Linked DNA regions of Oreochromis niloticus. The protein of the gene in region 1 interacts with the protein of each later gene in a pairwise test. Links are inferred from orthologs where the notes say so. Each region holds a gene or a part of one and is shown on either strand. Other genes may lie near its edges.

What was found. The genes of interacting proteins can lie anywhere in the genome.
Region 2: the proteins of sncaip (region 1) and nub1 interact in a two-hybrid assay, tested with the Homo sapiens proteins (2 studies listed by BioGRID). The link is inferred for Oreochromis niloticus from reciprocal best matches to the Homo sapiens genes SNCAIP and NUB1.

Annotation. Positions count from the first base shown.
Region 1 is NC_031977.2:31,800,374-31,807,948, reverse strand, and holds the start of sncaip (synphilin-1), read right to left. Parts: upstream 3,389-7,575; 5' UTR 3,198-3,388; intron 1-3,197. UniProt on the Homo sapiens protein: Isoform 2 inhibits the ubiquitin ligase activity of SIAH1 and inhibits proteasomal degradation of target proteins. Isoform 2 inhibits autoubiquitination and proteasomal degradation of SIAH1, and thereby increases cellular levels of SIAH.
Region 2 is NC_031974.2:3,696,833-3,704,669, reverse strand, and holds the start of nub1 (NEDD8 ultimate buster 1), read left to right. Parts: upstream 1-4,573; 5' UTR 4,574-4,868; intron 4,869-5,225; 5' UTR 5,226-5,230; coding exon 5,231-5,347; intron 5,348-5,763; coding exon 5,764-5,931; intron 5,932-6,067; coding exon 6,068-6,132; intron 6,133-7,767; coding exon 7,768-7,832; intron 7,833-7,837. UniProt on the Homo sapiens protein: Specific down-regulator of the NEDD8 conjugation system. Recruits NEDD8, UBD, and their conjugates to the proteasome for degradation. Isoform 1 promotes the degradation of NEDD8 more efficiently than isoform 2.

The DNA.
Region 1 (7,575 bases):
CATCATCCTTCTCATCTGAAGCAGCGTGCCATTTGATCAGTGCTTTATAACTTGCAACTGGGACGGGTAGTTATTTTTCTTTACCTCATTCTCAAACTAAGTCAACATTTTTTGTGTTTGTTTATTTAACGGTCTTATTTGGCTATAGGTGGAATTTTATACACACAAGACCAATGAAATGTATGCACATTTAGAAAGAGGCTTCAAAACAACAGCTACAATAACTCCCAAATTGTTACAAAGGTGGCTGTCAAAAAAAGCGGCAAAATTTCTTTGTAGACTAAATTTGTGCTGATGTTAAAAAATATCTACACACACAAATTAGAAATAAAAAATGAAAATTAAAAAAACTGATTGCCCGTTATCCCCATTATTTGCAAGAAATCTGCAGCTTAATCAGTGATGGAAGAATTAGTCATGAGAGGATCACAAGAACCTAAAATAACACCATGGCTACAGTGGAGTCAGACTGTGAGACCTCTCACGTCATCAGGTGGTGTACCTACAATAAGATCCAGATGTTCTGAGGGAACAGTTCATTTCTTTGGCTCTTTCTTTCGGGATCATGGTGCCTGTTGATGTGAGATCATTTACAACTATCTACATTTAGAACCAAACTGAAAAATCGTCAATTTTCTCACATATATAATAAGTTACTGTGTGCCGCTGTGCCATGCCTCGCCTTAAAGAAGCTTTAACCCCTACTCTACCACCGAACTTTCTCATCTTTGATTACTAACATTTTTTTCCTTGTACATTGCTTTCAGAGAAAAATATAGCAAGAAGTAATTTAAAATTCATATGGTCATTTTCAAGGCAATAATAGAAATGTGTCTGTTTCTTTGGCCACACATTAAGACTACGCTTAGAGATTTCTTTATGTTTTGAGAAGAACAAACGTCCAGTCATGGAAGTCCAAGATGTTCAGAAAGCAACACACTGTGGTGCGTCCGTGTAAGACTGGAGCTGTTTTCAGACTGCGTGGGAGTCAACGGGTCAAAATAAAAAAACCTCTGATTGCAGCTTTGAGAAAGAGTCGAGCCTGCATATCCTTGATAACAACAGTTTAGGCTTCGAAACCCGACATCAAAAATAACATAGAACTTTTAAAGAAAAGAAAAGGAAGGAGGACAACGTCTGCTCACTCTGTTTATGTGAACAGCTGACGAGTCCAAATCCTTCCAGGCAGCAAGACACAAAAATAATCAGAGATGAAGCGTTGTTTTGGACGAAAGACAAGAAACAAGGATGGGAGATTATTCTTTCCTCAAAGTGTAATTAGAAATTTACTGCATGCTACTTCGCATTTCCCATGGAAATCAGTGAAACTAAAATCCACCTTCCATCATCTCAAAGTCTCCCTTATTTACATGTTCTGACTTGTTTGTTGAACTAGTGTAAAAATAGAAATGGAAGCAGTGATCTAACGACCACTGGGAGCGGGGAATGCACACAGCACCTCTAAAACCCTGAACTCATCGTGAGGTTGTTGGGTTCAAGCGCCGCTGTCAGCTGAGCCCTGCCAAACACAGGTTGCAAGATAAAGCTGTAAATCAGACAGAATCGAGACACGGAGTTTCTTCAGAGCTCACCAAGTTAAATTTAAATGACAGCATACAGAACGACATTCAAAACCTGGATTACAATCATAATATCCAAAGTAAGTCCATGCAGTCGAAAACCCACACTGACAAAAGAAAGTGCAATGATAGCCACAGCATATAACAATAAGTCCCATGACACAGCTGACTAAATGGATGCTACCTGGGGAGACGATGAGCAGTAGAAAATAAAAAATAGATGATAGATTACCCAATTAAGGAGGAACAGCTAATATCAGCACCCTATTTTTATTCTTGGACTGGGCATCATTCATGGTTCATTATTTATCTTTATCAGGGCATCCAGTTCATCTTCTCTCACTCAAACAAGCTGCTTAAACAAGCCATTTAGAGTCTGACCTAGAGTCTGTGGAAGGAGCCAGTTGAAATGGTTTGGACATGTGACCAGGATGCCTCTCAGAAAACCTCCTACAGTAAAGGGAGTTATCTCTCCGTACCAGCTCACCCTCAAAACGCACATTTCGTCAAGCTAGGAACACTTTGGTGTTTAACCAGTGCTCCGCTGGGACTGCTGTGGGACTTTCTGGTTACAGGAGCCATTCAGCTCCTCAACCAGTGTTTGCACCAGAGAAATAAATGCTACTTTCAAGTGCTCACTTATTCACAAGAGGTTTCCACGACAAGTAGCCTCGTATGTTTGATTTGACAGGTGGTTACTTTACCTATTCTGGCCTTAATATTAGCTGGAAGCAGTCTGATAGATAACAGCTATTTTTTCCAGTAAAAACTGAGTAAATCTATCAAAAATCTGCAGATTTCAACACCTCAGAAAAGAAGATTGTCTTCACACTTTAAGTGTAACAAACCAAGACTTCTGCTCAGCAGCTGTATTTCACGTTGTACAGAAACAGCATTAAATACGTAATCAGATCAATGAAATCAGCTGGTTGCAATTAAACACAAAAGCTTTAAAATATGCAAATATCGAGAAAGATTCATTTGAAATACAGATTAACTCAAGATGTGCATGTAATTAGCGAAACATCACTACCGTGAGGTTTTTGTTTTGTTGAGTATCATTATAGAATTTATGTTGCAAAGACAAAAATGAGACAAAAGTCAAATTAACATCTGAGATCAGTGTTTATGTGATTCCTGCTTCATTTTCTTCTATACCCAAAAGGAATACTTCGCACTAGACAACAATTAATCCAATCAGAAAGCACTACTTGCATACTTTAAATGAAAAAAGTACATGTAGTATGGTAACACTTTAAAAGCAGATAAAAGTAAAATGTATTTAAAAGGACAGTTAGTATGAAGCAGACTTAAAGACGCCAACAGAGCCCTATGCTTTCTGCTTTATAGATGACAACAAAGGATGGGAGGCGAGTGTGCTCCTATGATTCTTGCTGACAGCTTGTTTAATCCTCTGATACCTGCTCAAGCAGCAGGAGGCTAATCAGCTAAGCTAGCTAGCTAATCAGCATCTAAAGAAGCTAATGTGGAAGCTAACAGGCTAGCCAGGCTGGCAGTTGGAAAATTGGGTCAAAGAGAAAGCTCAGGTAAAAGATAAGGCGGTCGGAATAAGGAGCCGTTAGCTCTCGGTTAACGGACAGTTTTCAGACACGGTACCTTTTGGAAGTCAGGCAGCCGAGGGGGGTTAGCAGGCTTGAGGAGCTGGTTGCTGCTAGTGGTAACGCTAGCTGGATGGTCGTTGGATCCAGCTGTTTTTTTCCCTTCTGTCGCCTCTCTGTCTTGAAAAGCACAAAGACTTTGACATATGGGCAGCACAAAGCGCCGGAAACAGGATGAGCGCTCACTCTGAGGAAATTTCCCAGGACCACGTAGTGTGGAGAAAAGAAAAACTTCACTTTCTTTTGGATTTTCAGGCTAAATAAAGCAAAAATAAATAAATAAATAAATAAATCGTGTTTGTGTTTTCTTTTACTCGTACTGTTGTGCAGCGGGGTAGCTTATTCACTGTGGTATATTGTAATAAGCAGCAGTTATTACTACCTCCCACCCGCAGGTGGCACTGTGGTATTGTATGTGATTGAAGAGTGTTCGTAGTAAAAAAGACCAGACCTCCACCATTGCCTCGTCTCAGTCCTCTGTGCTTTATCAAAGTTGGCCTTGGTCGCAACTCATGTTAAACTGGCAGTTGGAGCAACGCTGCTTAAAGTCATAACATGGTGTCAGAAGTTGGCAGGACCGTGTGAGCAGGGACCGACCGCGACGTGAGTAAGCTAGCTGTGGATTAGCTAACGGTGGACGGTGCTAACGGCATGGAGCAATTCAAGCCACCATCGCCGCTACTGCTCACCGGCAATTTATCTGAGACCTGGCGCAGGTGGGAACAAAGATTCAGACTGTATATGACTGCTACGGGTGCGCTGGAGAAAGATGAAAAGGTTAAAACAGCCATTCTTCTCCACACTATCGGCGAGGAGGCACTTGAAGTGTATAACACACTCACTGTAACCCCGGCCGGAGACGCGCTAGCTATGGAGGACATTCTGAAAGCGTTTAAGGAATACTGTAGTCCACAAAAGAACGTTGTTTTTGAGCGCCATACATTCTGGTCATACCCAATGTCAGCAGGTGTAACAGTGGACAGATATGTCACAGAACTCCGTCAGAAAAGTAAAAGTTGCGAGTTTGGGGTCAATGAAGATGACATGATCAGGGACAAGTTGGTGTTCAGCATAAATGATACCAGACTAAAAGAGAGACTACTTCGTGACAACGACCTCACACTGCGCAAGACGATAGAAATATGCAGATCAGCAGAGGTGGCCAAGTCACAGATTCAGGCTATGCAGTCAACAACTGCACCCCAAGACACGTCAGTACATGCATTAAGGAAAACGCCAGGATACATTAAATCAGGACACAGTAAAAACAAACCGAGCAACGACAAGCAAACGGCTTGTTACAAATGCGGCAACAAACACGCGCCCCGACAGTGTCCAGCTTATGGGGCAACATGCCACAGGTGTGGGAAAAATAACCATTTTTCAAAAGTATGCAGAGTGGGCGCAGAGAAAAGTAGAAATTACAAGAAAACAAAGACTATTAATAACATTGAGACTGATGGGGACTCACTGTACATAGGTATGGTGTGCAGTGACAAGCACCAAACTGGAAGGTGGCACGAAAGTGTAACAATCGGGGACGCATCAGTCACCTTCAAGCTAGACACAGGCGCGGACGCAAATGTGCTCCCCAGATCAGTTTACAACAAGTTACCAGGGATGCCTCGGTTACAGCCCACGAAGACGGCACTCATAGCTTTTGGTGGGGCCCGCATACATGTAGATGGTGTGGTGTCTCTTGAGTGTGAAGCAAGGAAGCACAGGGCTGTGTTTGATTTTCTTGTGTCGGACCATGCAGATAAACCGATCCTAGGTGGGCGAGCTTGTGAGGAGCTGCATCTGGTGAAGCGAGTTGAAGCCCTTGCCTTACCATCCGCTGTACCGAAACCAGCCAAACCACCTTCTACCAAGGAAGAGCTTGTGGAGATGTATGCTGATGTGTTCACAGGCTTGGGTGAGTTCCCTGGAGTCCATCACATACACACTGACGCAAACGCAACACCTGTGATTCATGCATGCAGGAACGTGCCCCTCTCCATAATGGACCCGCTGAAGCAGACGCTACAGGACTTACAGAACAGAGATGTCATAACGCCTGTCAATGAGCCCACAGATTGGGTCAACAGTCTTGTCGCCACACAGAAGAAGAACGGAACACTAAGGGTGTGTTTGGACCCTTGTGATCTGAACCAAGCAGTTAAACGCCAGCACTACTCCATTCCCACACACGAGGACGTTCGAAGCAAGCTAGCAGGAAAATCCATCTTCACCATATTGGATGAAAAAGACGGATACTGGCAGATCAAGCTGGACGAGCCGTCATCGAAGCTGTGTACCTTTAATACACCTTGGGGCCGGTATCGCTTCCTCCGGCTCCCATTCGGGATCAAATCCGCCAGCGAGGTTTTTCAACAAAAGAATTGCGAGACTTTCGGCAGCATTCCTGGTGTATTTATCATTGCAGATGATATGATCATTGCAGCTACATCAGAGCACGAACACGATGAGATCCTGCAGAAGGTCATGGAGAAAGCAAGAACAGCTAACGTGAAGTTTAACAAGGACAAAATTCAGTTCAAAGTCGACACGGTGAAATACATGGGCCATATCATCACAGCAGCTGGGCAGAAAGCAGATGCTTCAAAGATCAAAGCTATTGTTGACATGCCGACTCCGGAAGACAAACAAAGTCTTCAGCGTCTGCTGGGAATGACGAAGTTTTTGGCACAGTACATTCAAAATGAAGCATCACTCACAGCACCTTTAAGACAGCTACTCAAAAAGGACACAGCGTGGCACTGGCAGCCGCACCACACAGCAGCGCTACAGATGCTCAAGGCGACGCTCACACAAGCACCAGTGTTGAGATTTTATGACCACAAGAAACCCTTAACATTGCAGGCCGATTCTTCAAAAGATGGGCTGGGCGCATGCCTATTACAAGAAGGGCAACCTGTGTGCTATGCGTCACGAGCACTCACAGACACAGAAAAAAGGTATGCACAAATAGAAAAGGAGCTGCTAGCCATTGTGTTTGCCGCTAAACGATTCCACCAGTATGTCTATGGAAGACCAGTAACCGTGCAGTCTGATCATAAACCCCTGGAGGCGATAATGCGTAAGCCGCTATGCAAGGCACCAGCAAGGTTACAAGGAATGCTGCTGCAATTGCAGAGATATGATCTCACCGTCACATACACCCCCGGCAAAGACATGTTCATAGCCGATGCACTTTCACGAGCCACAACCACTAGTGACAACGAGAATGTGAGTGAAGACACAAATGAAGAAAGAGTTGTGTATGCTCTGGAGGCCACAGCAGCGTTGAGTGAAAAAACACTGAGCAGCCTGAGAACGGCAGTTGCAGCAGATAGCGTGCTACAAGCTGTGCGTGAAAGGCACCTCAACGGATGGCCAGCCAGAAGGAAGAGTTTAGACAGAACACTCCACAGCTACTGGCCTATGAGAAACAACATCAGTATCCACGATGACATTATTATGATAGGGGACAAGATTGTAATACCCCAAAGCTTCAGACAAGTGATCCTGGAGAAGTTGCATTTCGCTCACCAAGGTGTACAGCGCACAAAAGCCAGAGCAAGAAGAGTACTGTACTGGCCGGGCATGTCGCACGACATAGAGACTATGCTTGAGAAGTGTGAACAATGCCAGCAAATGCAGCCACAGAACCAGGCTGAGCCGCTTATTCCACATCAGATTCCAGAGCTGCCATGGATGAAAATCGGAGCGGACATCTTCGAACTGAACGGTCAGCCATATCTTTTGTTAGTTGATTATTTATCCAAATACCCAGAAGTTCTTAACTTACCTGACAAAACGGCACACTCTGTGATTCAGAAGATGAAATCAGTCTTCGCAAGACACGGAATTCCCAAAGAGATAGTGAGCGATCATGTTCCATTTGCCAGCTACGAGATGAGATCGTTTGCAGCATCCTGGGAGATAAAGCTAACTTTCTCCAGTCCCGGCTTTCCTTCTTCAAATGGAATGGCGGAGCGAGCCATAAAGACTGTTAAACATGCACTTAAAAAAGCGGCGCGAACTGGAACAGATCCACATCTAGTGCTGTTATCTCTGAGGAACACTCCAGTCACAGGACTGAGTGTGTCACCTGCACAAATGTTGATGGGACGGGTTCTCCGCAGCACACTGCCATGCGCCAGTGCTGTGTTGAGACAGTCAACCCCACAGAACATTCCAGATAAGGTGCGTGGACTGCAGTCAAAGCGGAAATACCACTTTGATCAGCATGCAAGACCATTGCCTGTTTTGACCTCAGGCGATACTGTGCACATGCAAACACGGCGCGGTTGGGAGCCAGCTGTTGTAGCACATCGGCGAGAGGAACCACGCTCCTACGCTGTGCAAACACCAGAGGGTGAGGTGCTCAGGCG
Region 2 (7,837 bases), on another chromosome or scaffold:
GGGGTCTGAAAACTCGCTAAATATAGCGACAAAGTCGCTAAGTTGGCAACACTGGCTCTGAACGGAGGTTCAATACTTTCACTTTCACTGCTCCTCCCTAAACACAGAGGATGCTGGGACTTGTAGTTTTTACCTTAAGACTTAAAGTTTTTATCTTCCGGTGCGATCTTCCTCTTTGTTTTTTGTGTATACTTTATTAATCCCCTGTGGGTAAATTATGCATGTAACCCATTCACTCAGTGGTTAATCCTGGCTCTGATGTTCTGAGAGGCTTCCCCGACTCTCTGCAAACACTTTTTAAACCACTTTACAGAAAAAATGTGTTTTCTTACAGTTCCACTTTCTCCTGTGTTTAATCAGGTTTCTGCTTCGGGATGCACCTCATCCTTCCAGCGGTTTGAGCCGGTGTCACTCTCTGCCCTGAAGGGGATAATTGAGCATCTGAAAAATTCAAACTCTGTACATGACATCCTCCCATCTCGCATCATCAAGGAGGGTTTTAATGTAATTGGGCCTATCATCCTATCCTTATGAACTTATCATTGCTTTTGGGTGGTGTCCGACCACTTTTAAACATGCGGTAGTACAACCTGCTCTTAAAAAAAGTAGCCTTGTCCAAAATGACCCTGCAAACTATAGGCCGATTTCCAAACTCCCTTTCTTGGCTAAAATTCTAGAGAAAATAGTCCTTTTGCAACTACAGGCCCATCTAGATGCGAATATCATCACTGATAAATTCCAGTCTGGGTTCAAATCACATCATAGTACGGAAACGGCATTGTTGAGAGTTTTCAATGATCTCCTTTTAATCACTGATTCAGGGCGCTCAGCAGTTTTAGTTTTTTTGGATTTGTCCTCAGTGTTTGATTTAGTGGACCACAACATGCTTTTGATGAGGCTAGAGCACATGGTAGGCATTGAGGGTAATGCTCTTAGTTGGTTTAAATCGTACCTTTCTGAAAGGTCCTTCGCTGTTACGATGGGAAGTTACTCTTCCTCTGTTGCCCCCTTTTCCTGTGGTGTGCCCCAAGGGTCTGTGTTAGGCCCTATGTTGTCCTCTTTGTATTTGTTACCTCTAGGTCGCATCTTTGAAAAATATAAAATTTCCTGCCATTGTTACGCAGATGATATTCAAATTTACTTTCATCTGACTGAGGATCATCACTAAACTGTGTTTTTGATTGTATGAGAGAAGTTAATTGAGTTCAATTCCATTTTAGTCATACAGCACCAAATCACAACAACAGTCACCTCAAGGCGCTTTATATTGTACAGTAGATAGCACAATAATAAATACAGAGAAAAACCCAACAATCATATGACCCCCTATGAGCAAGCACTTTGGCGACAGTGGGAAGGAAAAACTCCCTTTTAACAGGAAGAAACCTCCGACAGAACCAGGCTCAGGGAGGGGCGGGGCCATCTGCTGTGATTGGTTGGGGTGAGAGAAGGAAGACAGGATAAAGACATGCTGTGGAAGAGAGACAGAGATTAATAACAGATATGATTCAGTGCAGAGAGGTCTATTAACACATAGTGAGTGAGAAAGGTGACTGAAAAGGGGTTAAGGATTGGTTATTGAGTAACTCACTCATTTTAAATGAAAAGAAAACTGAAATTGTTGTTTTCGACAGCCATATTCCTGGGGGCCAACTAACAGTTTCACTTGGGCTGTTTGCTACCTTTCTTTCTGACACTGTAAGCGACCTGGGTGTTCTCTTGGACAGTTCTTTTAAACTTGATAAACAAGTCTCCACTGTAGTTAAATCTAGGTTTTACCAATTACGCCAAATTGCCAAGGCCAAGCCTTACATGCCCTGCAAGGACCTTGAGAAACGTATCTATGCCTGTATCGCCTCGAGACTGGCCTCCAATCTACCCTTCTCCGCAGACTGCAGCTTGTTCAAAATGCAGCAGCACGCCTCTTAGCTGGAACAGGTTTTTATCACCCCTATCCTTGCTGACCTGCATTGGCTACTAGGGATGGGTATCGAACCCGGTTCTTGTTGAGAACCGGTTCCCACTGTTTCAATTCCTTGGAATTGTTTGCCATTTTTGCAAACGATTCCCTTATCGATTCCAGTCACCCCGAATGACGTCACCACGTTGCGGAGCATCATTTACCTGGCAGGGCGCCTAAGCAGCTCAAACGCTAAAAAGTTTGGTCATACTTTACAAGAACGGATGACAACAGGGCAACTTGCAATACTTGCAAAGTAGATATTTCATTTAAAGGAGGAAACACTACGAAGATGCAAAAGCATTTGCTCACAAAACACGCGATGACCTTAAATGAATGTCGTGGTTTTAATTCCGCTCCGGACTCGTGAATCTCAACCCAGCAGCAGCGGTAACGTTTGCACGTCCTCTCCCGTTAATGCGGCAGGTAAATAATCAGCTAACAGTGCATATTATGTTAGCGCGATCTGCCATATTACAAAACCTGCCATTACTGTGCATTTAGGTGACCATGATGAGAGAGACAGAGTCTGGCTGGCAGTTCTCGCTGCAGTCTACCGGTAGCGTCTCCTTTCAGGCCAGGATAGACGAATGTCACCGAGCAGTGACTAAGTTTGTGGTCAAAGGCTTGCACCCATTTGCCACAGCAGATGCCCCCGATTTCCGGTAAGTGAATGTGTTTAATTGTAGGCAGGGACATTACTGGATATTCTTGTGTAATTGCTACAGAATAATTTATGTTATACTTTGTTATTGCTACAGAAGAATATTTATTTTATTATTTTACATTTACAATTTTTTTTCCCGGGGACCCTGTGACACCCCATTGAAGAGCCGTAGGCTGTGGATCTCTTAAGATCTCACTGTTGGGTTTGTAAGGCCATGTTACTCCTAAATTTCTATCTTGTTCAAAGAGAAGATATAAAACAAAGTTCTAAGCTAATCGACCTTAGTGTTCTCCTTTTTAAAAAAGAATCGATAAAGAATCGAATCGTTAAACAGAATCGAAAATGGAATCAGAATCGTGAAAATCTTATCAATACCCATCCCTATTGGCTACCCATCAAATACCATATTGATTTTAAAATACTATTGCTTACCTATAATATTATAAATAACATTGCTCCCAGTTATCTTGTTGAACTTCTCATAGAGCACTGAGATCAACGGGCCAGCTGCTAGGGTTGAAGACCAGAGGTGAGCATACTTTTGCCATAGCTGCACCCAAACTCTGGAATAGTCCTCCTACTGCTATTCGTGCGTCTGAATCAGTTCAACCTTTTAAATCTCGGTTGAAAACCTTTTTATTCAAACTAGCCTTCCCTAGTTAGTGTTTGTATCCTTCAAATGTTCTTTTATGTATGTTTAATCATTCTATTGTATTTTATTGCTGAATAATCTCCTAGTCGAGCTGTGTTTGTATTTTCTTTTACTAATTAGTGCTCTCCCCCTGTTGGTGTATTTATTCCCTGTTAATGTTTCCTTTCTCTAAATTACGGTATTACTGTAAAGCACTTTGGTGTACCGCTGGTTTTAAATGTGCTATACAAATAAAGTTGTATTGTATTGAAGCAGTGGGCAGCCACCAACGCAGCGCCCAGGGAGCAGTGTGTATGGATGGTACCTTGCTCTGGGGTACCTCAGGGGAGCCATTTGGTGGATTTGAACCCCCGACCTTCCGATCATGGGGCGAATGCTCCACCTACTGAGCTATCCTCTCTTTGTGTTTGTGTTCAAGTTATGTCAATCATGTAAACAAAGAAAAGAAATAAGTGTTATACAAATAAAAAAATACATTTCAGTGTGGCTTCACGTGTTCTGATTCAGTTACTGTGGAAATAATAGCGTGTTTACTATGTATTAAGGTCAAAGGTGTAGGTTTGCTTATAATAACCAGTCCGCTGTAACTGTATGACAGGTGTTTATTAGCAGCCAACATAAACGTTCGTACACAGGTAACAGGAAGCACACATAGCCCAGTTAGAACCACAGCGACCTCTGCTGGAAACCTCCGTAACTGCAGCAAAGGCAGACATAACATCACTGTTGTCTACAAAAGGGAACATAGTTTATTATTGTTTGTGGTAGTATGATGTTGTTGTTGATAGGATGTAGAATACAAATTGAAAAAACAAACACAGAGATTGTGTTTGGAATAAATGTATAACCACAGATTTTGGATTTGGCTCTATTAATGTTCTTACTTATACTCTTTTAAATTGTTTTTTATTATTTATGATTGAATTTGATCCTGCTGGGTTGTCTTAACTTTAAAAATAGATCTTACCTTATTTTTAATTGTTTTTTTGCCTTTTTTTTAACATGTTGTATCACTCACTGTTATATTTTTTGGTTTTCTTTTTTATCATTTGCTTATTTATTTTATTTTCAATACATTTCAAACAATATTTTTTTTGCTGTACTTTAGTATTTACATTTTTAACACATTTCCCTTTGTGTCATTAAGGTAGCGTTTTTCGTTTTGACCCTCGTGGGCAACCGTAGGGCAGGATCGAAGATCGTCTATATTCGTGAAGACTCGTGTCTGCTGTGACGTGGCCTGGAGCGTCGGCCTGTGTTCGGCAGACGTCGTTGTTGCGATCAGCTGATCCTGGAGCATGCGCAGAGTGTCGTTTCCTTCCCAGAAAAGCCTGATTCACGTAAACAACAGCAGGCAGCTGCCGCCGCGGAGCTTTACCGGAGTTTTACCGGCTCTCAGACCGAGCAGCTGGTCGCCGTCGGGTCCTGTGACAGTGAGCTACCTGTCAGAGCAGCTGTGCTCACCTGGAGCTGTTAGCTGCTGATGTCAGCCCGGTGGCGTCATTTCTCTGATTAAGTGTCGTGTTTGAGGCTGTTGTGTCGTAAATCAGCCGGGAGCAGAGTTTGGAGCAGCTGAAGACACACCACAGGTTTGTGCTGAAGTAACCGAGACCTCTGAACTTTAGTTTGACCTCTGAACTTTAGTTTGACTTTATACAACGAGGCTGCTGTGTGGAGCCTACATTTCCCATCATGCAGCTGGAACTCTGTGTGACAGGAGTGAGTGATTTATGATGACTAACCTCAGCTTTAACTCAAAGTCAGGAAACAGATTATTACAGCTGCACTTCCTGTAGTGATCACCTGCTACCATCAGGGGGCGGAGCTTCACTGAAATGCTTCCAGATGTGAGCAGCTGCTGTCCTCTGAGCTGGTCCAGGCGTTTTAAAAAGGTCTTCGTGGACCTGAGATGCTGAAGCCACAGTTTTTATCTTGTATCCTCTCAGAGACGATGGCGGAGCAGAACTTGGAGGCCAAGCTGAAGAACCTCCTGAAGCAGGAGAAGATCCAGCTGTGGAACCCGCCGTACACCGAGCAGGACCAGCAGCCGGGGCGGCCGCACATGCAGGTGGGTGACCCGCCTGAGGAGGCGTGGCCATACACACCTTCCTACTGAGATCAAAGTATGAGGATATAAAGTTCAGTCAGGTCTATAAAGGTTACTTTGTGACGCTGTTTAAGAAATTAATCATTCACATGAATCCAATAAAATAATAAATCTGCTAAAACAAAGAAATAAAACCATCATTAAAGAGTTCAGTTTTTCCTGTCAGAGGAAACCTCAGTTAAACAACTTACTAAACCAGTGAAACTGATTATAGAGGAAACACATGAGGATACATGAGAGAACAGGACTGACTGATTCTGTTTCACTGAGATTCAAGCATCACTGAGGTTTTTGTCTCAGCATTACAAAGTTCAGCCCATGTACAGTGTCGTTGGATTCAGTTCTGAGCGCGCTCAGTGCTGTTCTTCTTCCATCAGGAGCTGGCGGGGCACTACGCCCCCCTGCTAGGCCTGCCCGTGTCGGAGGTAGGGGGCGCTCTGGAGTCGATCCGAGCTCAGGCGGTGAAGCGAGGCAAAGGAAACCAAACGTTCAGGGAGACGAGTGTGGCGACGCTGGAGCTGCTGCTGCCGCGAGACGCCAAGAAGGTAACGAAGGCGGCGAGGACAGAGGAAGCTACCCGAAGGTGTACCTCACGCCACACACTCATCACATGACACACACCGACCCACAATGCTTTGCTCTCCTGTGACGGAGGAGAATGACCTCAGTGTTTGCTTCCAGGATCCAAAGGTGAGGATGTACCTGGAGACCAGGCTGGACGTGTCGGCGCAGCAGGTGGTGGACAGGTACTCGATTACATCACAGGCCGAGTGTGTGTGTGTGTGTGTGTGTGTGTGTGTAGCTATGGGAACTGATAAGATTTTAGCCATTCAGATTCTATTATTGGTATCTCTAATTGATTCAGATGTTCATCGATTGTCATTGATGAGTCAGCTCATCGCTAAGCAACAATAAAAACGTCACTCTGATGCATATTAATTACATGCTGTGGGTCAAATGTTTGTGTGTTTGTTCTCTTCACTGTGGTCGACACATGTTACACACAACACGTGCACCATGTTACACGTTACTATGATTATGATGTTTTTCTCTGATTTTACTAAATATTCAATTCAGATGACGGTCAGCATAACGTCTGAGTCATCGACCCTCAGAGTTCAGATGTTACTGAACAAACCTCCCAATGAAAACCGTGTTTTTCTAAACTAACAAACTTAAAAAGCCAACAGAGCTTCCAAACATGTAATTGGTTGTAAAGAACTGAAAGTGATTATTTGTTGAATTTGCAGCATTAGGAGATCAAATTTACTGAAATCAAAACTATTTCAATCAAAAACATTAACAGGTCGAGTTCCATAATAACACAGGACCCCTTATTTGATTACATCCATGGACCTGGAGAGTTTTGTCAGTATGCTGTGACTCAGCCACAGGTCTGTGAGCAGTACGATGATCGCGCTTACGTTTACGTGAAAGGTTTTCATTATGTGTCCAAGGCATTCAACTGTTTCACACTTTTCAGCAGAGATCCTTTTTCTTTCCCGTGTTGCTTGATAATGGTGGTGTGCTTAATAATGTGGCGCATGCTTCTTTAGTAGTTGTAAAACTAATGATCACAGTCTGAGGCTGATGTCAGTGATCCAAACAGCTCTGAGACACATGAGTTTGATTGAAAAACAACATATTTAATCTTTGTGACACTTAAATACAATTTTCTTAATAATTTGGAACGTGGTGTAAAAGTAATGCAGTACTTAGTTACTCCTGGAAAAAGGTAACTAGTTATACTAGTCGTTACATTACTTTCATGTTACTCTGTAAAGCAGCTGCAGCTCACTGTCTCATAATCACTGTTTAAACATAAACCTGAGGCACCAACACATCCCTAATGAGGACACACACCTCTAACATCTCTCTTAACACAAAGCTGACCGCACAAATCAAAGATGAAGACACACAAAAAATGGTTGCCATGGTGATTCTACTGTAGAAACAGGAACAGGTAGAATCGTCAGTTTGTTACCTGTGGAGGTTCAGGCTCTGGCTGCTGGTCTGGAGTCTGCACACGCTCAGCTTTAACGCTTGGCTAGCTTAGCGTTAGCATGCTGTCAGTGCAGATGCTTGTAAAGAACTGAGGTTGTGTTAGCAGCACTGTGGTTGTTTCTGTCCTGTTATTTACATTTACATTCATCTTGTTCTTTTGTGCAATAAAAAATACATTTCGACACACATGGTCACTATTTCCTCCTCTGACATCCAAGCTGAAATCAGCTGATTGTAGTGCGAGGACAAGAAGTGGGATCAACAGGCGGACAAATGATTCCAAGGAGCTGGAATACTGGGAAGCAGTTATCTACAAGAACTGGTTCTACATTCAATACTCTAGTAAAGAGAGTGTGTGTGTGTGTGTGTGCGTGCAGGGTCGCTGAGGAGCACGGCCTCAGGAGCATCAAGCTGATCCTGAGTGGGAGGAGTCTGTCTGCAGGTCAG